Xenopus tropicalis: one gene and its partners. The protein of the gene in region 6 purifies or fractionates together with the protein of the main gene of each other region. This does not show direct contact. Links are inferred from orthologs where the notes say so. Each region holds a gene or a part of one and is shown on either strand. Other genes may lie near its edges. The genes, in order: yaf2, l3mbtl2, taf7, bod1, kdm6a, wdr5 and grwd1.

The links.
Region 1: the proteins of wdr5 (region 6) and yaf2 purify together in Homo sapiens (affinity purification with mass spectrometry; 4 studies listed by BioGRID and IntAct, counting the BioPlex papers as one, with this or other methods). This does not show direct contact. The link is inferred for Xenopus tropicalis from reciprocal best matches to the Homo sapiens genes WDR5 and YAF2.
Region 2: the proteins of wdr5 (region 6) and l3mbtl2 purify together in Homo sapiens (affinity purification with mass spectrometry; 4 studies listed by BioGRID and IntAct, counting the BioPlex papers as one, with this or other methods). This does not show direct contact. The link is inferred for Xenopus tropicalis from reciprocal best matches to the Homo sapiens genes WDR5 and L3MBTL2.
Region 3: the proteins of wdr5 (region 6) and taf7 purify together in Homo sapiens (affinity purification with western blotting; 3 studies listed by BioGRID and IntAct, with this or other methods). This does not show direct contact. The link is inferred for Xenopus tropicalis from reciprocal best matches to the Homo sapiens genes WDR5 and TAF7.
Region 4: the proteins of wdr5 (region 6) and bod1 purify together in Homo sapiens (affinity purification with mass spectrometry; 3 studies listed by BioGRID and IntAct, counting the BioPlex papers as one, with this or other methods). This does not show direct contact. The link is inferred for Xenopus tropicalis from reciprocal best matches to the Homo sapiens genes WDR5 and BOD1.
Region 5: the proteins of wdr5 (region 6) and kdm6a purify together in Homo sapiens (affinity purification with mass spectrometry; 7 studies listed by BioGRID and IntAct, counting the BioPlex papers as one, with this or other methods). This does not show direct contact. The link is inferred for Xenopus tropicalis from reciprocal best matches to the Homo sapiens genes WDR5 and KDM6A.
Region 7: the proteins of wdr5 (region 6) and grwd1 purify together in Homo sapiens (affinity purification with western blotting; 3 studies listed by BioGRID and IntAct, with this or other methods). This does not show direct contact. The link is inferred for Xenopus tropicalis from reciprocal best matches to the Homo sapiens genes WDR5 and GRWD1.

The regions. Positions count from the first base shown.
Region 1 is NC_030679.2:64,866,636-64,869,269, forward strand, and holds part of yaf2 (YY1-associated factor 2), read left to right. Parts: intron 1-1,780; coding exon 1,781-1,933; intron 1,934-2,634. UniProt on the Homo sapiens protein: Binds to MYC and inhibits MYC-mediated transactivation. Also binds to MYCN and enhances MYCN-dependent transcriptional activation. Increases calpain 2-mediated proteolysis of YY1 in vitro.
Region 2 is NC_030680.2:116,007,820-116,011,319, forward strand, and holds part of l3mbtl2 (lethal(3)malignant brain tumor-like protein 2), read right to left. Parts: intron 3,439-3,500; coding exon 3,304-3,438; intron 2,373-3,303; coding exon 2,284-2,372; intron 1,930-2,283; coding exon 1,698-1,929; intron 1,511-1,697; coding exon 1,431-1,510; intron 1-1,430. UniProt on the Homo sapiens protein: Putative Polycomb group (PcG) protein. PcG proteins maintain the transcriptionally repressive state of genes, probably via a modification of chromatin, rendering it heritably changed in its expressibility.
Region 3 is NC_030684.2:37,700,089-37,703,532, reverse strand, and holds the end of taf7 (transcription initiation factor TFIID subunit 7-like), read right to left. Parts: intron 3,366-3,444; coding exon 3,198-3,365; intron 3,065-3,197; coding exon 2,952-3,064; intron 2,412-2,951; coding exon 2,352-2,411; intron 1,648-2,351; coding exon 1,603-1,647; 3' UTR 1,155-1,602; exon of another isoform or gene 957-1,154; 3' UTR 501-956; downstream 1-500. UniProt on the Homo sapiens protein: The TFIID basal transcription factor complex plays a major role in the initiation of RNA polymerase II (Pol II)-dependent transcription.
Region 4 is NC_030680.2:152,363,076-152,367,018, reverse strand, and holds the start of bod1 (biorientation of chromosomes in cell division protein 1), read right to left. Parts: upstream 2,801-3,943; 5' UTR 2,744-2,800; intron 1,144-2,743; exon of another isoform or gene 1,053-1,143; intron 1-1,052. UniProt on the Homo sapiens protein: Required for proper chromosome biorientation through the detection or correction of syntelic attachments in mitotic spindles.
Region 5 is NC_030678.2:55,786,555-55,790,054, forward strand, and holds part of kdm6a (lysine-specific demethylase 6A), read right to left. Parts: coding exon of another isoform or gene 3,465-3,500; intron 3,210-3,464; coding exon 3,114-3,209; intron 1,705-3,113; coding exon 1,600-1,704; intron 956-1,599; coding exon 560-955; intron 1-559. UniProt on the Homo sapiens protein: Histone demethylase that specifically demethylates 'Lys-27' of histone H3, thereby playing a central role in histone code. Demethylates trimethylated and dimethylated but not monomethylated H3 'Lys-27'.
Region 6 is NC_030684.2:8,199,565-8,203,501, reverse strand, and holds the start of wdr5 (WD repeat-containing protein 5), read left to right. Parts: upstream 1-1,137; 5' UTR 1,138-1,180; coding exon 1,181-1,261; intron 1,262-3,015; coding exon 3,016-3,124; intron 3,125-3,197; coding exon 3,198-3,271; intron 3,272-3,590; coding exon 3,591-3,680; intron 3,681-3,937.
Region 7 is NC_030683.2:114,831,831-114,835,786, forward strand, and holds the start of grwd1 (glutamate-rich WD repeat-containing protein 1), read right to left. Parts: upstream 2,801-3,956; 5' UTR 2,781-2,800; coding exon 2,537-2,780; intron 2,114-2,536; coding exon 1,996-2,113; intron 1,426-1,995; coding exon 1,260-1,425; intron 430-1,259; coding exon 216-429; intron 48-215; coding exon 1-47. UniProt on the Homo sapiens protein: Histone binding-protein that regulates chromatin dynamics and minichromosome maintenance (MCM) loading at replication origins, possibly by promoting chromatin openness.

The DNA of each region.
Region 1 (2,634 bases), on a different chromosome or scaffold from region 6:
TCACCTCCATTTAACCCATAATATTCTGTGAATATATTTAGTGCACACAATGAAATGTAGTAGTTTTCAATCCAGATAGAGCAACTAAAATCCAGTAGGATCATTGGATTGTCTGTTGAAAGTGATTCCTGATTATCCTCCTGTGTAAGAACTAAAGTAATTGTATTCTAAACAGTTTGTAATTTTTCTGCTACTAAAGGCCCCCATACATGGGCCGATATCGGTCCCTTGGACCGACTCGGCAGCTTATCTGCCCCTGTAGGGGCAGAAACGAGCGGACTGGCTGAACGATATCTGGCCTGAAATTGGCCAGATATCGATCGGCCAGGTTAAAAGATTCAGTCGGATCGGGGGTCCCTGAACCAAACGATCGGATTATTTATTTTTTTTTAACTTCTAGCTCCCCGATATCGCCCACCCGTAGGTGGGGATACCGGGGGAAGATCCGCTCGCTTGGCGATCTCGCCAAACGAGCGGATCTTACCGTGTATGGGGACCATTAAATGTGGCCCTATAGCCCAATTTCAGCTTGAATGGCTGGTTTCATGACAGCTAATATATATAAGCAGTTGTACGGCTTCTAAAGCAAACACACACAGTAAGATACATTATATTTAAAGGGGACTTACATCCTTGTTTTTAAATTTACATTGCTTAAAAATTTTGTACTGTTCACAGAGACAGCTCTTGGCATTTTGTCACAATTTTTTCCAGTTGCGTAAGTCGAAATTCCCATAAATCAGTAATTATGTGAGCAATGTGTAAGAGAGAGAATTAGTTTACAAATTTACAAAGACCACTTATGAAAATAGCTAGAATCTTGGTCATAAAACATGGAAAACCTGCTGTTTTTGAGAAAAGAAAGGAGGTTCTATTAATACACCTTTGTATGCAAGGACAAAATTACTTTCTCAAACAATGCCCTCTTATGTATTTTTTCCTTGTAACCATAGAAGATATTTCCATTTAAAGAAAGATTCGTCCAAATACCAAACTGATGTGTTTGTGACAAAAAGTCACTTGAATTTTGGGATTGGTTTGGCCTGACGCATGAATTTGGCCAAATCAGAATCCTGCTGAGAAAGACTGAATCCTGGATACGGTGCATCCCTAGTTTTAAACAAACTAGTGATGCAAACTCCACCCACAAAGCTAAATTATTGACTGGGGAACGCAGTCCTTTTCTTGAAAATGGCATTTTGGTATGAAATTAGTTCTGTGAGCCCCAAAATCATTAATTTATAGTTCATTCCCTTATATCATAGTGTCTCTTTCCTGCAGTTTCTGGTTGTATGACTGGGGTACACAGATAATCTGTACTTGCCAAGGAAAATGTATGGATAAAACAGGCAGCAGAAAAAACAGCAATGAGAGAGGTTTTAAAATTCAATTATGTGGCCATCTGAAACTGCAGAATCTAGGGTGCAATGTGTGCTTCAAGGAAGACAGAACAGACTACAAAATGAGCTGCTAGAAAATTATTTCCCCCAAAGAAAACAATGTAATTCAGTGATCAGACCTTAAACATACTTTTTAAATTGGTACAAATGCAGCTGTACCAATACAGGCCTTTTTTGTTTTAATATGCATTCAGTTGGTTATATGAATATGATGATTCATTTCTGTTTACAAATTTCTTAAAACACTGCTTTTCCCTTCCCTCTTCAATTCCCACTTGATCCTTTTGAGAAAGCAATTTTTTACTTTTTAATATACAGGTTTCCACATTTTAAGCATTGCCGTAAAAGTACAATTGCAAATTTTCATTTTTTCCTTATAGAAAACCTCGACCTGTTTCCCAGTTGGTTGCACAACAAGTAACCCAGCAGTTTGTGCCTCCCATGCAAACAAAGAAAGAGAAAAAAGATAAAATTGAGAAGGAAAAGAGTGAAAAGGAAACCATGATCAAGAAGAATAGCCATAAGAAGACAAGGTATTTTTTTTATAAATTAGCTTGTACACAGCAGAATTCTAAGATTATTTGCAATTGGCCTTTCTATATTTTTTTTTGTGATTTTTAAAATAGATACAAAAAGCTCCACCTTTAAACTGCTAACTGGTTGCAGCAAGTCAGCATTCAGGAAGATCAGTAAGAGAGGGCCAAAAAAGAATGACAAATATGAATAAAACAATTTAACCCTTGGTTGGCGGGGGTCAGTGACTGTGACAAGAAGCTAGCCTTTTCATTTTGAAACCATTTTCACAACAGTTTAAAATAAATAATGAAAACCAATTGTAAAGTTGCTTTGAGTAGGTTGCTCTGTAACCATACTGATGTATTTGATCTGTAATTCTCTTGCGCTGTCACTGCCTTTTTTATTTTTGCAGTGGTTAACACTAGGTATAGTGGAATGTCTCTTACAGCACTTACTCAATTGACTTATTGCCAGCAGATACATATATCTGCAGCTTTCTCACATTTCTAGACTACAGACAAATATTTAGTCAAGTCATTCAGTTTTTATTCAAGTAATTCAATATTTTCATTGCAGTGATTATTTTCTGTGTACTGTTCTTGGGAAGTCACTACTGCAATGTCAGTTGTTCATCATATAGTCAGCTTTGACATGAAACCATGGATGAATCTCAACATTATTGCTGTAATAAAGTAGCTCTCTAGAGCTATAACCACAA
Region 2 (3,500 bases), on a different chromosome or scaffold from region 6:
CCTTTAATTTGCTTGCTATTGATCCAATTGGCTGAATCATACCATCAAATCATAAAAAAAATATATATAAAAATTAATCCAAATGGAAGCTCCCAAACCATTCAGTGGTGGGGGAAATTAAACGGGATGTGCCAACTTCTGGACCAGCAAAGAGCAGTTGTAGTGGGAGATAATGTGAAAATGCTATTAAAAGTATATGGAATGGCCACCTAGTGGAAGAGATGAGAAAACTAGAAAGGATTACACACATTATACATAACAGAAGCAGCATATATTAGAAAATATGGGAGCCATGGCTCTCTTTTTTTAAAATCTAAAGCCCTCATACAAGCTTAGGAATGCTATGCTAGACTACTGCCTAGACAAAAAAAAAAAACCCCTTCACAATAGGTTTCCAGATTCTTAACAATAATTAACTCGCTGTCTTGACTTGTCACTGGGTTTGTCTGATGGGCAAAATTTGTCTGATGGTCATCCCTACCCTTTTGTACCCCTCATTTTTGTTTGAAAACTGAACATCCACATTAAAGTTTTTTAAAGGGGTGGTTCACTATTTCATAGAATGTACTATTCTGAAAAAACACAAATTAATAAAATAAAAAATAAAAAAATTAAATTAAAATGAAGTTAATTTAAAGTTAATTTAGTTTCTGCTGGAAGTAACGGTCTAAGCAATTGATGATCAAGACACAACTTCAATTTTTAAGTTGAATTTCTGTTGCCACTAACATTGTAGCTGTGAAACAGGGCCAGAGGCAGAAGAAGCAGGTGTCTAGGGTGCAACTAAGGGGCTCCTAGTATCATGCATCTGCTGCCTGCAGCACTGAGAATGCAAGCAGTTGGCAAGTAGGTTGGGCAGACATGGGAGCGTCTGAACCTTGGGCACCTGTAGCTCTTAACCTGGCCCTACTGAGAAAAACATAATGCACAATACAAGCCATACATTTGGTTAATAAAGCGGTGACTGCAGGGAAAAAAAGAAATACTATGGGGCAGATTTACTAGTCCACGAATCCGAATCCCGAAAGGGAAAAAATTGTATTGGAAACTTTTTGCGACTTTTTCGTCGCCCTCGCGATTTTTCGTATCTGTCGCGACTTTTTCGGCACCGTCGCGACTTTATCGTATTTTGTGCGATTATTTCGTCGCCGTCTCGATTTTTTTGTATTGCGCGATATTAAACGCCGGAAAACCCAATCCGATTTTTTTCGTGACGGCGACGAAAAAGTCGCGGAAAATATACAAAAAAGTCGCGACGGCGACTAAAAAGTCGCGAAAATACCGATCATTACGAAAAAACGCGTTCGGACGCTTTTGGTCTGTTCGTGGATTAGTAAATCTGCCCCTATATGTTGGGAAATTAAATGTCTTGGCATTCTACCACCTTCTCTACAAGGTTACCCTTATTGTTCATTGGCTGTTACTCTTACTTGTTTGAAGAGGTGAGGCACTGCATCACAGTATACCTTGCGGAAAGTGGGATGACTGGACATTTCAAATCGCTTCAGGTCTTAAAGAAAGATATACAATAGTGAGTTACAAAATCTAAGTCCTCTGCCCTTCCACAACACAATTCAAAAAGTGACTGGACAGAAGCCTGTATTGTATTAACCAAGAACCAAAAAACCTTAGCTGGGAAGGATGCAATAGATATATTTCTATACAACATTTAGGAACTATATACAGAAAAAAATTACCTGGAGGTTTGATATTATGGCCAACCTTACGAGCCCATCCTACAGGATGGATCAAAGGGCTGGTCATGTGGCACCAGAAATCATCATTTTTTTCTCCATCCTCATACAAAAGCCTCATTCGACCTCCAATTACTGTATCCACCACTGCCGATCTCATTCGTGACATCTTCATCTTGTCTACAGCCTCCAACCGCATGCCCTGTCTGAATGGGCATCTGAAGCTCTCTGCCATCTGAACATAATTTTTCCTGAATTAGTAATTAATACCAAAGACAGAAGGCGGAGACTAAAGAATGAAAGAAAAGCAGTAAAAGCTTCCCAGGACCCAGAGAAATATACAATCCCTAATCCGGGGGCAAGATGGACTCATTCTTATCTATATTATTATTCATAATGTAAATGGGCAATTACAGACTTTACCATTATATCATCAAGGTGCCCCCAAACACCTCCCTCCTAGTGGTCCAACCCTATTGGTCCCACTTGCTATCCAAGGATCTTAGAAACACATGCCTCTGTTCCTTCTTCACAAGTCTATATATGTAAACAAGGGACAAATACACATTTCTGCATCTGTTTAGATAACCTTGACATGGAAATCCGCAGGTATGGTATGGGAGCCGACCAATTTCTTCATAAGGTATTCTCTCCAGTCTGTAAACTTTGAAAGGATGGCTGCAAGGTAAGAAAACATGTGAAAATCATCTTCAGTTTCTGGGTAATTTGAAGTTCTCTTTTTTGCTTTCTATACCATGTGTTATAGGTATTTTCTTTTGTACAAGATACTAATTAAGGGGCTGGTTGACTTTCAAATAACTTTTTGATTGGACTTTTTCTTTTTTTATAGATAGTTTCTGAATTATTTGCTTTCTTCTTCTGACTCTCACCAGATTTCAATTGGGGGGGAGTCACCGACCCCAGCAAAAAATGCTACAATTAAGTACTTATCGTTATATTAAGGCCATCTCCTATTCAAATTCCAGCCTCTCATTAAAATCAATGCCTGGCTGTAAGGTTAATTTAGACCACAGCAACCAGCTGAATATAAAGCTAAATAACTAAACAAACACAAATAATAAAACAATTATCACAGAATAGCACTCTCTACATCATGCAAAACATTATTTTAAAGACAAACAACCCCGTTACGTATCCACATAGCCTAATATGAGTTTGATATCCTGGGCACAGAGGTTTTGCCCAAGGCCACAATAAGTTGAGACCATGATTACCAATAACAGACCCAAACCCCCAAGCCCACCAGCATAAAGAACCAGTAATATCATATAGTGAAAATGTATTTTAGAAGATACAGATCATTTATATACGGGTACTGATAATCTTATTAGGCACTAAGGCATTACCAGAGTCTGCCATCACAGCATCATCCGCAGGGCATTCCACAATCTCACTGCCCTCACCGAAAAGAACCATGGTAAAAGCACACATTTCAGGATTAACAACTCCGCTCAGGAAGCCTCATATACATCTGTTGCCTCACCCTTTCAGTTCTCTCCATAGACATGACTGGAAGTACAGCTGTCTTTAGAAAACACCCATACTAACACACACAAAACTTTTTTTTATTCTGTGAAATATTTCATACACTGGGGTGGAACCAATATTTTGCTGTTTACTGCACACCATCCAATGGGATGAATTTCCACTGTTCCCAAGTTGCACCAGTAGTTATGGCTCGAGTCTTCTTCAAAACCTTCATACTGAAGTAAAGCCTTGTAACCTAAAGGAATAAGCATTGCAGTTTTAGGTACATGCAAGAACATATATCATATAAAAAATTTG
Region 3 (3,444 bases), about 30 Mb from region 6:
CACTCAGTGCATAGCCATTAATGGAAGGATCTTATCTAAGCAAACATCTGGATAGCAAAACTGTGCTCTTGTTGCTCACCACACATACAATGCTCAAACCTGGTGTTAAAGCTTCATATACGATATCAGGAGCATAGCTGAACTTTACAGGGGCTCTTTATGTACCCTAAAAGACACTTGCTTCACATAGGGGAGGTTCCTAAAGAACATAGGGGAGGTTCCTAAAGAAACTATAATAAAAAAAAATGGAAGAAAACAGTGCTAATCCAGTCACATTATTGTACATGAATTCCATTGGCACTGGAGTTAGAATTTTTTGGTTTGAACAAATAATCATGAAAATGAAGGTGTGGGGGTTGTGATTAATCGTTATTTAAGGAATTAGGAAGTATTACAAGTATGTTTCTTCGCACATTGTATCCTTGAAAATTGTCCGTCTTCCCAGTAGCAAGCTGCCTGATGTAAAAATGGGTTTCACCACAAAGAAGCTAATCACAAAATTATGGGTAACAAAGACTTTTATTTGGATGGAATAATAGGTGGAGAAAAACAGACATGACAAAGTGTAAAATAATCATTTACAGTTCATCTGTAGCTGCCAATATTCTTTTTTTTTTTTTTTAAAAAAAAAAAGCAAAGTGACACTGCCTTAACACTAATGTTACGAACAAGCCATTCGTAAATGTGCTTAGTTCACAATGGGCTCTAACTCAAACATTTGGGTTCACAATCTGACCATAGTTGTTTGTAGGCATCAAAATCTTCCATATTAAAGAAAACAGCTGTTAGATAACAAAGGCAAAATTCTAATGTTTTCTCCAGAAAAATCCCAGCAAAACGGATACTTGTATACTTGTATACTCATAGGGGCGCATTTACTAATCCACGAATCCGAATCCTGAATGGGAAAAAATCGGATTGTAAATGAAAATTTTGCACCTTTTTCGTCGCCGTCGCGTTTTTTTCGTATTTTGCACGATTTTTTCGTCGCCGTCACGACTTTATCGTATTTTGTGCTACTTTTTCGTCGCCGTTGCAATTTTTCTTATTGAGCAATTGTAAACAGCGGAAAAACCAATCCGATTTTTTCACGACGGTGACGAAAAAGTCGCGACAATTCGCGAAAAAGTCGCGACGGCGACGAAACGCATTCGGACGTTCGTGGATTAGTAAATGTGCCCCATAGTGTAACGCACTGTTGGACTGGAAACAAACAGCAGGCAAATAGGTTAAATTATGAATACTGGGGTTATAATCCTTGCACCTTGAACATTCCAGTAAAAACGAAAAAAAATCATACATGTAAGGTTCTTTTGCTTATTTGGACTTTCTGTATTGTACAGCAGGCATTTAGTCACAGCACAAACCATTACAGGATCTAAACATCCTCAAGCAGTCACGTTCGAATGGCCTAAAGTAAAATATCTGTTTGGATGTATAATTTTCAGCACAAACAAAATTAAGGGAGACCCAGTCCTCATTGTTTCCTAAATGGAAGGATTTCCTCTGAAAGTGAACATTCTGGAGGATGTGGTAAAAAGCAGTACATCTACAGCAGGGAGGCCAAGTCATAAATATCAAGGAAACCACATCGGAACCTCTTTATTTCTCTATTAGAGTCTCGAGCTGCTCCTGCAGGGATGTCAGCTAGGAAAGAGAAGAGATTATCACAAGGACTGGTGTAAAATAGGTACTGCTACATTTGGTACACTTTATCACCTCCCATTACCATATTAACATTATAATATATTTACAAAAATAAACCATATAAATGGTACATTTATAATGCCTCTGGCTACAGAAAAACGGGCATGCACAAAAGAATAGCTATATCAAACTATGGGATTTAGCAAGGCAATGACAGAATAATAATGCTTGTGTGAAAGGAGAGACTGTTCTACACTATCCTTTTCTTCTATCTACTCCAGTAAAGTTTTAAAAGCATGGGCCAGCTTTTGATTCTTCTGACATCAGCTGGATACTGGACAACTGTGTAGAGATGCTGGCCCATACAAATTCACTGGGGGCCCTAAGTCAACTAGGAAAAAACAAACAGCCTCAAACAGTCTCAAGATGCACAGTCTGTCATCTTCTATTTTCTGTCAGTAGCGTGACTGTATGCATTTTTGTCTGCTTTTGGGGATACACACTGAGAATTACTGCACTTGATAAGCAATAATTCTCAGTCTCCCTGCACACAGTTAGCAAATAACAATGTCGCCAATATACAGCCATACTGCAAAACACAAAACAATGGAAAAAACTTGGAACTATGTCACAGCATTCATTTTGTCCCTTAAATAAGATAAATCTAAGCAATGGGTCACAGACTATAAAGCCATAATACATACCTGTTGCTTTTCTCTTTCCTCCTGCTGCCTAAACTCATCCAACACAGCTTGTAAGCGAGTCTAAAATAAAGAAAGAAAGTTTGTGTGAAATAGCTGCATGGCCAGATACAATCATCAAACTTGTATCAACCCATCTATAATAATCAACCAAAAACAGAAAGAGTAACTACATTCACCATCTTTCACACAGAGGGAGTGTGCCCAGACCCCTAGACCCCCATGGCCATTGTTTACATCCATACTGTATACCCTACAATCTTTGTTTGCCTGTAACTTCCAGTTTCTGGTATGCATTAGTAGTCTTGCACAAGGAGTGTGCCCGGCCCTTCTACTTCATGTGTATTTGAACATTGTGCTCAACCATTTCTCTTGCAAGGAGTGAATGCCCAGGTTCTCATATGCCTGGAAAAAATTGCTCTTAGACACTTCTTACATAAACAGGAGCCCTATCCTGTCCATCCTACCCTATCTTGCATGCCTACATAAATGTCACACACACATATTGCTAAACATAAAATGACCATAGTTAAGCATTTACTGAATCCACTTATATACATTTTCTCTCTCACACAAGGCAACAGTGCTGCAATCATGTGTTACCTTCAGTGCTACATTTTCAACCTTCATTATAAGCTCTTCTTGTCTTTTTCTTCTTTCCTGTGTCTCTCGCAGTTTCTTTTGTAAATTTTCCAGCTGTTTCTGCATCTCCAGAACTGATACATAGGGAAATGGGATATCATTAAGATCAACTTCCCCATAAGTTCTGCATTCTTCTCTGGCTAAAATATTACTTTCACTATAAAAAAAACAAAAAAAAAAAAAACTTGTGCTCCGCTATACTCTCACCAATCTGGTTAGTGCCTCCCTTTTGACCATCCTGTCCTGCCCTCTGCTCCTCCTCAGTCTCCATGATATTAAGATCTTCTTCTTCCTGGCGTTCTCCCTCCTCTTCTTCTCCATCACTGCTACTACTGATGTCATTAAAGATCTGACGCAATTCTTCCCTCTCCACTGCTGGAAAGAGAGAGACATGTTGGGAAAGACAAGTTAGAGCTTAAGATGGAGGGAATAAGAATAATTTAAAAAAGCTAAT
Region 4 (3,943 bases), on a different chromosome or scaffold from region 6:
TATAAACCCAGTGAGAATGAGGGATGAATGGATATTGGGAAGTTGTATCAGGAGTCAGAACCAGCAGTGCAGGGAAGGGAAAGGGACAGACACAGTGACAGTTACACATAACTATAAACCCAGTGAGAATGAGGAATGAATGGATATTGGGGAGTTGTATCAGGAGTCAGAACCAGCAGTGCAGGGAAGGGAAAGGGACAGACACAGTGACAGTTACACATAACTATAAACCCAGTGAGAATGAGGAATGAATGGATATTGGGGAGTTGTATCAGGAGTCAGAACCAGCAGTGCAGGGAAGGGAAAGGGACAGACACAGTGACAGTTACACATAACTATAAACCCAGTGAGAATGAGGGATGAATGGATATTGGGAAGTTGTATCAGGAGTCAGAACCAGCAGTGCAGGGAAGGGAAAGGGACAGACACAGTGACAGTTACACATAACTATAAACCCAGTGAGAATGAGGAATGAATGGATATTGGGGAGTTGTATCAGGAGTCAGAACCAGCAGTGCAGGGAAGGGAAAGGGACAGACACAGTGACAGTTACACATAACTATAAACCCAGTGAGAATGAGGAATGAATGGATATTGGGGAGTTGTATCAGGAGTCAGAACCAGCAGTGCAGGGAAGGGAAAGGGACAGTGACAGTTACACATAACTATTAACCCAGTGAGAATGAGGAATGAATGGATATTGGGGAGTTGTATCAGGAGTCAGAACCAGCAGTGCAGGGAAGGGAAAGGGACAGACACAGTGACAGTTACACATAACTATAAACCCAGTGAGAATGAGGAATGAATGGGTATTGGGGAGTTGTATCAGGAGTCAGAACCAGCAGTGCAGGGAAGGGAAAGGGACAGACACAGTGACAGTTACACATAACTATAAATCCTGTATCAGGAGTCAGAACCAGCAGTGCAGAGAAAAAAAAATAACCATTACAGACACTAGGCAAAACAGTTAATGGTTGTCTTTCCCCTTTAAGCTGGCCTCTGTCCAATAGGGTTGAACATATCAATTTTTTTACCCTAACTCTTAGTCTTACCTGGCACTGCAATGTCCTATGGGTATCTGGGAACTTCCAATTATTCAGTCCTTGGGCCAATCATTAGATCATACTGGGGGGCCTATTTACTGCCCCAAATCTCATTATACCAGGTGCCCATAGAAGCCCATGAAGAGAGGGGTACATCAGGGGGTCTGTGGTCTCCCACCATCCATCTCTTAACACACTGTCTCACATGGTCTCTGCATTCTGTTATTTACAGCACTGCAGCACGGTGAGACCATCAGTGACTCCATAGGAACAGCTCCATACAAACAAATGACACAAGCGACACATTGTGGGTTAGTCCTGCAATTATGGACAAAGTCATGGGGTGGAATTGCTCATTAGTATAACTGCCCCTTTGTCTTCTGCCTCAGCAACCAACATTTGTGTGACAAACACAGCTGGGGCCAAACAAACAAATTCCCAAATCCAAAGCTGCCATGTTGCTTACTCTCTCTTTTTATTTATTATTTCTTATTATAATTACTACTAACTCACATCTATAAGCATCAAAATACGTATTATAGACTAGTTTATATAGTAAAACCCATAAGATTAGCAGAACAATTGTACCATCAGGTTGTGGATCATGCAGTATCAAGTCAACTTTATCAGCTTAGTCGCTCTTCCCTGTACTTTCTCTATTTCATTACTGCCCCCCCTTATATATTTATATATAGTGACCTCCCCCCCTTAACTGCCCCTTCCCCAGTGTAACCAATCCCAACTGGGCCAGCCTTTCCCCATAACTGAGCCCATTCCCTTTATCAGCTTAGTCGCTCTTCCCTGTACTTTCTCTATTTCATTACTGCCCCCCCTTATATATTTATATATAGTGACCCCCCCCCCTTAACTGCCCCTTCCCCAGTGTAACCAATCCCAACTGGGCCAGCCTTTCCCCATAACTGAGCCCATTCCCTTTATCAGCTTAGTCACTCTTCCCTGTACTTTCTCTATTTCATTACTGCCCCCCCCTTATATATTTATATATAGTGACCCCCCCCCCTTAACTGCCCCTTCCCCAGTGTAACCAATCCCAACTGGGCCAGCCTTTCCCCATAACTGAGCCCATTCCCTTTATCAGCTTAGTCACTCTTCCCTGTACTTTCTCTATTTCATTACTGCCCCCCCCTTATATATTTATATATAGTGACCCCCCCCCCTTAACTGCCCCTTCCCCAGTGTAACCAATCCCAACTGGGCCAGCCTTTCCCCATAACTGAGCCCATTCCCTTTATCAGCTTAGTCGCTCTTCCCTGTACTTTCTCTATTTCATTACTGCCCCCCCTTATATATTTATATATAGTGACCCCCCCCCCTAACTGCCCCTTCCCCAGTGTAACCAATCCCAACTGGGCCAGCCTTTCCCCATAACTGAGCCCATTCCCTTTATCAGCTTAGTCGCTCTTCCCTGTACTTTCTCTATTTCATTACTGCCCCCCCCTTATATATTTATATATAGTGACCCCCCCTTAACTGCCCCTTCCCCAGTGTAACCAATCCCAGCTGGGCCAGCCTTTCCCCATAACTGAGCCCATTCCCTTTATCAGCTTAGTCGCTCTTCCCTGTACTCTCTATATCATTAACATCCCATTGGAACTCTGGAGCCCAGATCACACAACATTCAATATGGGCCATTACCAGTGCTGTAACTAGAAGCATTCAGCATATAGAGATTATTTTACCTGCCTCTAGCACCATAAAGAGTTACAGTTCGGTCAGATCCCATTGCCGTATCCCAGCATTCCCCAGTGAATCACCCTGTAGGTAGCAGAGAAGCAGCTCACCTGTCAGCACCAGCAGTAGCCGGAGGGCACACAACCATGGACACTGTCACCATCGAGGAGAAGCGGCAGGTTCAGTGACATTCCTCTTCATGCAGCCGCTGCCATTAGGCTAGTAGCCCCGGTAACAGCCCTTATTGTTATAAGGCCTGGGAGACGGTCCGACTTCGGAGGCTAAAGGGAAACCTGTGGGGAAGGCAGATGGGTCAGGAATTGGCTAGAGGGTTCAGCTGGGAAGTTTGTTATCTTTTAGCATGATATAAACATTATTTTGAGACAATTGCCTATATTTCAATATATACATATTATAGTATATTTACTATATAAATTGTGAAATATATAAATAATATCTTTTCATTCCAGACCTTTTCTTATTCATCTACCAGTCTGTCATTCACACAACTGCCTGGTTGCTAGGGCTAGTATGCCTAACAGATAATCAGCAGGTATGATTGGCCGATCACATGTTTAAAAGCAAAAGTCTGGTTGGTTGCTCAGGGTTAGTAGATCTGGTTTAACATTTGGGAATATAATTACATGACCCCCTGCACAACAAATAGTTCTAATTAATGCCCCAAAACCTTAATTTCCCCTGTGCCCTACAGAAAGGGATTATGCTGCTCTGCATGCAGGAAAGGTGTAGTTAGACTAAACTTCCCAGCATCCTCTCAAGATCAATCTAAGCGCTACAGTTAGTGTTAGAGAAGCACGAGCCACCAGCTGCTGAACTACAGCTCCCAGCGCTCTGCAGTGTATTATACGAAACATGGTTTTGGGCCAGAAGTAAAAGTTGTAACTTAAGAATCTTATACCTCCAACCTGTGCCCCAACTACAACTCCCATCATCCCTTGTTTAAACTCTGCAACTTGGAAAGAGATTCATGACCAGAGGCACCGCTAAAAAGAAGATACATTATACTGTACCCCCACTCTACTGTACCCCCACTCTACTGTACCCCCACTCTACTGTACCCCCACTCTACTGTACCCCCACTCTACTGTACCCCCACTCTACAGACAGAGGGGTCAGAAAAGAGATTAAGTGCAATCCCAACCCGATTCCCTTTCCCAGGAAAAGCCCATTGCACTAAGCCTATTTGT
Region 5 (3,500 bases), on a different chromosome or scaffold from region 6:
GATTCAGGGCACATTGGTTTATCTATAATATAAAGTTTTGTACTGTTTTCCCCACTGGGGTCTAAGGAAATACAGATTACCTGTGCAGCTAGACCTTAATAGTATTACCTAATTTTAAGCACATAACTGGTTTGCCCTCCATATCTTTAGTATTGTCTGAACAGTGTTAATTACACACGTGTATAAGTATTAGAAATATTTTTCCATAATCTCAAACAAAAAAAAATCTTGCGCACCAACAAATATGCAGTGAGGAAATGATTATATAGAACACACAATTCTCTCATAATAATTTATTGTCTGTAGACTGAAAAGCAAAAGTTAAAGGAACAGTTCAGTGTAAAAATTAAACTGGATAAAATGGATAGACTATGCAAAATAAAAAATATTTGTAATATAGTTAGGCAAAGACGCAATCTATAAAGGCTAGCGTGAGCAGATGTCTAACATAATGGGCAGAACTTTACATCTGCTTAATAATATACCACTGAAGCACTACATTAGAAATATTCTGAAAGCTTATTTCCTTGCAAGGTACAGAAAGCTCAAGATCTCTTACCTGAGTGGAGTTAGTTAGTTGGTTTTTCCACGGCTCCTCTGCGCTGCTGGTCAGGTTTGTGCGGTTATGAGGTAGTGCGAGTGCGTTTCGCTGCGGGTAAGGCACATTTCCATTACTTCCATTTCCCGTAATATGATTATTGCCTATCAACATAGTGTCTGCACTGCCCACTGGCCCTGTGGTACTGCAGGAAACTTGGCCTACTGGAAATGGTCCATTAGCCACAGGCTGCGCAGGGCAAGCCGGACGGATTCCAGGCTGAGCGGCATTAGGCATCCTGGTTAATGCAACCTGATGTTGCTGACCAGTGAGTGAGTTTGTAGGCAGTGTTGAGTCAGCAGTTGGCCCGTTAGCAATTCCAGTAGAACGTACCTGTGAAAGTCCAGTTTGTCTCATCTGTTAGAAAAAAATATAAAAAAATATGATGATGATCATTTAGGCAAATGGAAATAAATTCCTCTAATCAGTAAGTAAACCTAAAAGTCACTACTGAAATAAAGTGCTGTATGAGTGCAACACATTTGTAATCCTTTTAGTGATAACTGTGGTAAATAAATCTAATGGCTTAAATGCCAGTTTCGTATGGTTGAAATACTTAAGAATAATGGAATAAGTTAAGGATTAGATAAGGCAAAGGAAAATACTATTCTGTCAAATCCTAAAAATATATTTTATGCAATTATACATGGCATTGTAATTACAAAAAACTGTATAGACCTCCATTATAGATTTGCAAACTGTGGGGCTGGTCATTTAGGGTGCCAAAATTTTTGCCAAAATCCAGACTAAAATTAGACCTAGATCCTAAAGGCCTGACAGGGTGGAATATCGAGTAAACCCTTTAAATAGATACTGACAGCACTATAGCAGTATGACAAAACCACTTATATTTTCAAATATCTAACTTTGAGAGGAGTCAAGCAGGCACTAACTAAATGCTGGGCCTCAGAGGGACCAAGGTGTTGAATGCAAAAACTTTGGAAAATACAGCTGCAGTAGAAATCTGCAGATCTGCATTATTTGAGTACAGAAGCATCTACCTGCTGTTGCTGCTGCATTAAGACAAACTGAGCCTCCAACTGCTCCAACGCCGCTTTTTGTGCTGGATTCAGATTATTCCTGTTTGCTCGTAGCTGTTCCAATTGCTAAAATCAGATAAGTTAATTTTACATGGTGTAAGACACAAAATCTGCACGTGAAATGCTAATCTTTAAATCAATACTATATTGTAATATGTTTACTATAAGTATTCCATAAAAACTATTTTCAAACATCCTGAGGTCTAAAAGATCAACTGGTGTGAAGATAAGTTTAGATACACAGGGTAGTAAACATTGGTTTTAAGCATTATTTTTTTAGAATTTTAATAAAAAATGTGTTTGTGTTTTCAGGCTTTAAATGTAAACTGCTATTCGGTTGCTATTAGCTGAATTACCCTACCAATAAGACAGAAATATGATAGGGATTTAAATAAATTAATGAAATTGTAATCTCATACACATTACTTTTTGGTTGCTAGAATGCAGCGACCCTGACAGCAAATAGTGATGCACCCATAGATTTTTTTGCTTAAAAATATTTAGTTCTAGCTCTAACCCACCCATTTCTGTGTGCATACATTTTTTGTCCACACAGCCAAGAAATTAGGGGGAACTTCTGACTTATAACATCCTTATATTTTACAATAGAAAATACATTTACTACATATTTTGGCTCGTCTTCACTTCCTCATCTGACTGCAACAAAACACGGACTGGTCATCTGTAAGCCACAGGACCACAGGATTGTCTATAAAAGTTGACCCTTAAGCCGACATTCATGCTCAGATGGTCTTGCAGTTTATATCCCCCAAAAACTTTAACCAAAGCTGGAAATGTACCTCATCTAGCCTAATATAGCTTCAGTATACACTACATGCTTTTAAGTGCACTGTCAATACCCCATGCTCACCCCATGCTTGAGCACTTATTTAGAATGGATTTTAGCACAGTAATGCAAAAAAACAAAAAAAAAACAAAATGCACTTTTGTGCCAACACATATCTACACACCAGCAAAGAAAAAAACCTGTGTACAATTAGCCTTAACCCCTTGTATTGCTTATCAGTGTGTGACCAGTATGTTCAATATATACACCATTTTATTTTACAGCACTGAATAATATGTTGACATTTTATAATTACATTAAAATATGCCCACATTTCCACTTTAAAATTGCAAATATTTACAAGGATCTTACCATGACAATATAGGAGCAGAAAAGTGCTTATTGTAGGGCAAAGGTTAGGGCAAAGGTTACCTGGCATAATATAGAAACTTTGGTTTTGGGAGTGTCACTTTCAACCAATGCCTTCTCTAGTTTCTTGTTATGTAAACCCAAATGTAGGTCAGAAGATGATGCTAATGAAGATTGTTTGATTTTCATCAAAGCCAATAAAATATCTTAACCTCCCCCAAAAAACAAACAGTTGTTTGGATATTGCATTACTTTCAGTGCTTAATTCAAAACTAAAACAACCAAGAGAGAGACAGAAACAGCATAGGACTATTCATACCTGTACTTTGTGTGGCGGCAAACACCACGAATGTACTTGTTGCTGTCCTGGAGTATGTGACGCCAAATGGCCACTGCTCCAGGTATCAGAAGTATTCTATTGAAAAAAGAAATTATTGAGAACTCTTGATAATAGAACACTTTTAAACTGTATTCCAACTGCAATATGTTACAGGCAAAACAATCTATGTTCTTCAAATATTTGGTGCAATACTTAAGCACATTCATATGAAAAATTATTTGAGCGAACTTTCCTTCATTTTACATGTAATTAACTTAAATGAAGTGGATGGTTTAAAAAAAATAAATAAATAACAGCATGGGCCACATACATTTTTGGCATGTGAAATACCTTTGCTGGACTAGATGTTCTTTTCCTCTTGGCAGG
Region 6 (3,937 bases):
CAGCTACCCCAATAGCCCCCATACCTTCCTTTATATCCTTTCTCAAACACCCCAGTTACCCCCATACCTTTATATATCCTCTCTCATATCCTCAGCTACCCCAATAGCCCCCATACCTTTATATCTCTCTCATACACCCACAGCTACCCCAATAGCCCCCATACCTTTCCTTTACATCCCCTCTCATACCCCCCAGCTACCCCAATAGCCCCCATACCTTTATATCTCCTCTCTCATACCCCTACAGATACCCCAATAGCCGCCATACCTTTATATAGCCTCTCTCATACCCCCACAGATACCCCAATAGCCCCCATACCTTTATATAGCCTCTCTCATACTCCCACAGATACCCCAATAGCCCCCATAACCTTTATATCTCCTCTCTCATACACCCACAGCTACCCCAATAGCCCCAATACCTTTCCTTTATATCCTCTCTCATACCCTCAGCTACCCCAATACCCCCCATACCTTTCCTTTATATCATCTCTCATACCCTCAGCTACCCCAATAGCCCCAATACCTTTCCTTTATATCCTCTCTCATACCCCCAGTTACCCCCATACCCCCCCATACCTTTATATATGCTCTCTCATACACCCACAGCTACCCCAATACCCCCCATACCTTTCCTTTACATCCTCTCTCATACCCTCAGCTACCCCAATAGCCCCCATACCTTTCCTTTATATTCTCTCTCATACCCCCAGCTACCCCAATAGCCCCCATACCATGATATATCCTCCCTCATACCCCCACGGATAGCCCCCATACCAATATAGATACTCTTTTATACCCCCACAGCCAGACCAATAGCCCCCATACCTTTATATATCCTCTTTTTTTAACCCCACAGCCACACCAATAGCCCCCCATACCATTATATCCCAAACAGCCACGCCCCCTCAGAAAGGTCTCCCTATTGGCCACAATGTTTCCCCAAAAAATCTACAGCCCCACTACTGCCTGTACTGTTACACAATGCTCACACGTGCACAATAGGAGAACCCCATACCACATATAAATACATTATTCTGGAAAGGCTTCTGGTACAAATAGTAGTAAATAAGTAATAAATATTGCTAATTATGTCCTTTTCTTTGTTTACAAACACCTAGCCTGCATAGTGGGAGTGGCCATCTGCTAACTCAAGGGGCCCCATTCCAGTTCTTGCACCATGGCAACAGAAGAAAAGAAACCCGAAACTGAAGCTTCCAAGACGCAATCCACCCCATCCTCGTCCAATAATCAGAGCAAGGTTGGTATTCTTCTACATGTGGAGCGGCCAAGATGCTTCCAGTAAGGCTTTGGGTGTTACTTTTGTGTGAAATCCAGCAGTTATGGATCATTAATCCTGCTTATAAAGGGTAATGTTAAAGGGGAAATATATCCGCCTCTGGCTTTTTAAATATACCCTTAATATAAAGGGCCTCTTATAGGTGGGTAGTGTAGTAGGGTTATAGGATCCAAAGGGTTACATATTCTTTTCCTACTTAAATATACATCTTAGAAAATTAACTTTTAGTAAGAGGTCCCAAGAATTGGCCATTCTGTAACATACTAAAAGTTAAAGGGGATGTCAACCCAAGATAAAATATTGACTAAAGAAAATGTATTTTCAAGCAACTTCCCAATATCCATTCATTCCCCATTCTCACTGGGTTTATAGTTATGTGTAACTGTCACTGTGTCTGTCCCTTTCCCTTCCCTGCACTGCTGGTTCTGACTCCTGATACAACTCCCCAATACCCATTCATTCCTCATTCTCACTGGGTTTATAGTTATGTGTAACTGTCACTGTGTCTGTCCCTTTCCCTTCCCTGCACTGCTGGTTCTGACTCCTGATACAACTCCCCAATATCCATTCATTCCTCATTCTCACTGGGTTTATAGTTATGTGTAACTGTCACTGTGTCTGTCCCTTTCCCTTCCCTGCACTGCTGGTTCTGACTCCTGATACAACTCCCCAATATCCATTCATCCCTCATTCTCACTGGGTTTATAGTTATGTGTAACTGTCACTGTGTCTGTCCCTTTCCCTTCTCTGCACTGCTGGTTCTGACTCCTGATACAACTCCCCAATATCCATTCATCCCTCATTCTCACTGGGTTTAATAGTTATGTGTAACTGTCACTGTGTCTGTCCCTTTCCCTTCTCTGCACTGCTGGTTCTGACTCCTGATACAACTCCCCAATATCCATTCATTCCTCATTCTCACTGGGTTTATAGTTATGTGTAACTGTCACTGTGTCTGTCCCTTTCCCTTCCCTGCACTGCTGGTTCTGACTCCTGATACAACTCCCCAATACCCATTCATCCCTCATTCTCACTGGGTTTATAGTTATGTGTAACTGTCACTGTGTCTGTCCCTTTCCCTTCCCTGCACTGCTGGTTCTGACTCCTGATACAACTCCCCAATATCCATTCATTCCTCATTCTCACTGGGGTTTATAGTTATGTGTAACTGTCACTGTGTCTGTCCCTTTCCCTTCCCTGCACTGCTGGTTCTGACTCCTGATACAACTCCCCAATATCCATTCATCCCTCATTCTCACTGGGTTTATAGTTATGTGTAACTGTCACTGTGTCTGTCCCTTTCCCTTCTCTGCACTGCTGGTTCTGACTCCTGATACAACTCCCCAATATCCATTCATTCCTCATTCATATACTGAAATATGGCAGTAGATCCTCACCCAGGGTTGGGAGTTTTATGAATTTAAGTTGAATTGTTTCTGGTTTCTCATGAATACGTTCGACTCAACCAACTTTTGGGTACTTTCCAATACGCGGCTCTGATGTTTGTAGAGAGATGAAATATAGGGGGTGGGTGCTGAATGTGACAAATTTCAGGTTTGTGCAGCGGTTACATACAACATGGCTGCCTGCCCTGGGGGCTCCCTGTCACTGTAGGGGGCTGTTTTTTATTTTAAAACTATTGTTTCCCCCAACTCTCTGCCTCAATGTCTGCAAAATACATTTCTGAAATCCCCATTTTTCTCTTCTATTCATAGCCTGCACCAGTAAAGCCAAATTACACGCTAAAGTTCACCCTCGCCGGACACACCAAGGCCGTATCATCTGTAAAATTCAGCCCGAACGGGGAGTGGCTCGCCAGTTCATGTAAGTGACATTCCACCTATCGTTATGTCTTTGCCCTAAAGAAACTACAGTGTCACTTTTTTGTTCTTTTCAGCGGCCGACAAGTTAATCAAAATATGGGGGGCGTACGACGGCAAGTTTGAAAAAACCATATCCGGCCACAAGTTGGTAAGAACCTTTTGTTGTTATTGCTCGCGTCTAGCCGGTGTTGAATTCCTGTAGCACCATATATTTAAATTCCACCAGCGTCTGCTTCGTGTAACATTAAACCCATACTGTTTTGCACCTTATCCCCCCAGCGCCGTGCAGCAGAAGCCAATTAGAGTTTGCATTTGCCAGACACCTCCCCAGGGGCCTCCCTAATTTATAGACGGGCTTGGGGATTTCATGTGTTTTAATTTGGCACTGGTTAAGAAATATAAACCCCCTTAATCAAATCCGATTAGTGAAACTTTTATTTATTTATTCTTTTTATTTTTATATTCAGGGAATATCTGATGTCGCCTGGTCCTCTGACTCCAACCTCCTGGTTTCTGCTTCTGACGATAAAACTCTAAAAATCTGGGACGTGAGCTCGGTGAGGCCTGATTGACTTACCGTTGGGAAGAATATGTTTTTGTGTTTCTTCATTGAGGGGTAAAATGATAACACAGGATACATTCCCTATTTCTCTTACATCATGGGGGACACAGGAACAGCCTAATTGCCTCGTTAATCCAGTGGGCAAACGTGGCCTTGGTAGTAGGCAGAGCCTCTCTAGAGGCTAGGCCTAACCTCCTGTCCACTTAAAAAGCTGAGCCCTGTTGGCTAAGCAAAAGGGTTAAAGAAAAGAGG
Region 7 (3,956 bases), on a different chromosome or scaffold from region 6:
ATCCCACAGATGGATGTTCTTATTGCAGTCACCAGTAACCAAGCGCCCTAAAGAGGTAGTGAAAGGGAAGTAGAAGACTAAGTGAATCAAACTATTGATGTTTAACCTTTAAAAGCAGCTCATGTACCATTAGGCATTTTTACCAAGCCTTTATAATCAATAACAACTCATGGGAATTTGAGGCTTAAACTTTGGATAACTTTGATATGGTGTACCTGCTGTTTTTGGAGACCAATCCATTGCAAACCCTTCGGTCATGTGCCCGGAGAAAGAAAACACTGGTTTGATTTTGGCTTGTTCCTCCTTCAGAAAAGCAGCGAGCACCTGAGAGTCTGACACAGCCGACAGTTGCTTCCTTAGATCATAAATATCCACTTGCCCTTTCTCTGACCAGACAGCAGCCACGGGTACTTCCCCCATTGTAGATACCTAAAAGCAGAGACAAACCAATGATAATATAACAAACAGAAGTAGTTAAAAGCTCACATTTGCTTGTATACCACATATATGGATCTACTCGTATATAAATATATATTAGATTATCACTTTTTTAACATTTTGTTTCCCTTTAATGTTGCAGAGCATTCCAGGTCTGACATTTACAAATAAAACTACTAACAACAGTATTGTATACCACAGCAGAGGTCGCAATAGGGCAGCACTTCCTAGTTTAGTGTATACAGGTATAGGATCTGCTATCAGGAAACCTGTAATCCAAAAAGCTCCAATTTGCAGGAAGGCAATCTCCCATAGACTTGTAAGCAAATTATTTACATTTTTAAAAATTATTTCCTTTTTTCCCCTGTAATAAAACAGTAGCTTGTACTTGATCCCAACTAAGATATAATTACCCCTTATTGGGGGCAGAACAGCCCTATTGGGTTTAATGGTTAAATGATTCCCTTTTCTCTGTAATAATAAAACAGTACCTGTACTTGATCCCAACTAAGATATAATTACCCCTTATTGGGGGCAGAACAGCCCTATTGGGTTTATTTCATGGTTAAATGATTCCCTTTTCTCTGTAATAATAAAACAGTACCTGTACTTGATCCCAACTAAGATATAATTACCCCTTATTGGGGGCAGAACAGCCCTATTGGGTTTATTTAATGGTTAAATGATTTACTGAGATCCAAATTACAGAAAACCTCAGGTCCTGAGCATTCTGGATAACAGGTCCCATACCTGTATATCTTTTCCTAAACATGGCAAAGTTATAAAGACAAAAACAAATATGAGAACACAACCCGACTTACGCGAATTCTATTAATGCCACCATAATGAGGCACCATAGCGAGCTCTAACTGAGGCTTCTTTTCTTCCTCGTCCTCTTCTTCGCCACTGTCACTGCTTTCAGAATCGGAATCATCTTTCTTTTCCTTGCTTGTACGGTGCAAATTGTACATTTTCATTACCAGCATCCTATAAGAAAGAGAGGAAAAAGAGTTACACTTCCTTATACAGGCTGGGTGGATTCTCAGGTACTGTAGAACTGACAGTAAGTTCTGGTGAATAAAAGATACAAAGACAAGACAACTTGACCAAAGTCAGAAGACATCAGTTCTGTTCTGCAGACCTTGGCTTGAGTAATTGCTTTACAGCTGCTAAAATGAACAGCTGCCTACTAAGTGTCAGTCAGATATTGACAGTCAGTCAGTCTGATACTGCATGAACTACAGGCCAAAGAAGTGTTGGTCAAAGGCCAGATTATAGTAAAATGACAATGTCAAAAAGCCATTTGGCAAACTGGAGCCATAAAAATCACTTGGAAGTCTAGTGGGCCCCCAGCTGGGCAGCCTTATGGGGTTCATTTCAAATGTTTGATATTATATGTTACTGCAGATATGTTATTGCATTCTTTTTTTTCCCCCAATAAATACACGACCATATATAATTGATCAATTTGTTAAACGAGGTTTTCTTCATCTACTTTTGAGACTTAGAAAATCAGATGATGCTTATGTACCCCTGTACATAATCTATTTCTAGTACCTGTTGCCTTGAGCAGAGTCGGCCTGAGTACCAGCGCAGAGGTACATAGTCAGCGGGTAATCTGTGCGATTTTCCCCCAGGGTATCACGGATGACATCAAAACTTAAACATGGTGCACCTATAACACAATAAAAAAAGAAACCATTTAATTTTCATACAAAGAAGCAAAAAACTACAAGACAACCGTGTAGTATAGTTTTGTAGTTGACATTGCTGGGGTCCCAGGTTTGATTCCAGCCAGGGCATTATCTGCATGTTCCCCCTGTGCCCCCCTCCCCCAACACATACCGGCAAGTTAAGTCATTCCTAATAACTGTAGATATAACCTATGGAAAGTGCTGTGGAACACGTTGGAATTATTTATATACTTATAAACATATATTAAAGATATCATTATAAAATGACCAGGCTGGTAAGCTTGCATGGTAACTTGCCCTTTAAAGAGCCCGGGACTGTGCGCTGAACTTCCCGCCGCTCCCCTCCCTGCCCGACCGCTCCCCTATAAGGGATCCCAACACCGGGGAGCAGAAGGGAGCGTTACCTGTCTGTGCCTGGTGATACAGTACATACGCCTCCTGGTCCATCACCAGCTCTTCTCCCTCCTTAAGAGGCTCCATCCCGGGCAAATAGACCCGCTTGGGCCCTTTGTCCTTCTCATCGTCCTCCTCTTCTTCCATAATATCACCCTCGTCATCTTCATCCTCGCTGCCCGACTCTTCCATACCTTCATCTTCCTCCTCATCCTCTGCGGGATTTCTCCATGTGGTTTCCCCAGTGCCTGACATCTTGGAATCGGGCGACGTCACTTCCTCTGGCTTCGTCTGCCATGTGTTCTAACCTACTTCCGCTGACGCCTTGCCATTACTATGGAGGCGATGTGCAGCGGTCTCTACAGAATGTAGATGTAAAAATCTACCCATAAACCCAATAATAAAATGCAACAAGACACTCCAGACGTTAGCTAATTAGTTACTTGCTATTGTTAGAACTAAACGCAGAATGGTTTGCAATTAAGGCGGCCGTTATATATTAAAGACCAGCAGCAATACTTCTTGTATATGTATGTATATCTTTATTTATAAAGCGCTACTTATGTACCCAGCGCTGTACAGTAGGTTATTCATTAATACAGACAGGAGGTTAAAGATAATGGATAAATACAAAGTACAACAATAAATACAAATAAATACAAGGTGCAGTTGCAATAAGAGTCAGAAACACAAGATGAAGGAGGTCCCTGCCCCGTAGAGCTTACAATCTATATGGGAGGGGAACTTACAGATACAAATAGGCAAATATAAGTGCTGTAGGTCACAGTGGGTGACACTACAATATAAGTGCCAGTTCCCAGATCAGGTGCTGGGTGAGTGCTCCAAAAGGGAGTCTTTAAGTTTAGTTTTAAAAAGACTGAGGGAGGATTCTCTCCGGAGGAAATCAGGGAGGGCATTCCCAATGTAAGGGGCAGCAGGGCAGAAAGGTTTAAGGCGGAAAACAGCTGTAGTAGTTGGGGGCGCAACCAAACGGTTGCTCTGCGAGGAACGAAGGAGTCGGCCAGGAACGTGCGGAGACACCAGGGAAGAGATGTAGTGAGGGGCAGAGGAATGGAGGGCTTTGAAGGTTAAGAGAAGGAGTTTGTAAACTATTCTTTGTTTAACAGGAAGCCACAATAAGGCCTTTAGCAGGGGAAGGGCCTGAACTCTCCTGGGTGAGAGGAGGAGAATTCTGGCAGCGGTGTTTAATATAGACTGTAGGGGAGAAAGATGGGAGTTAGGGAGGCTGGTTAGCAGCAGGTTACAGTAGTCAAGTTGGGATAGCCTTATGGGGGAGTGGGGTGATAATCTGTAAATCAGCAAAGGGAGTGGAGAGGTCCCCAGTGCTCCTTATGAGAGCAAAATGTAAAAATTTTATTGTGGGGGTACTGTCTATGGGGGGCACTGTGTATGGGGGTACTGTCTATGGGG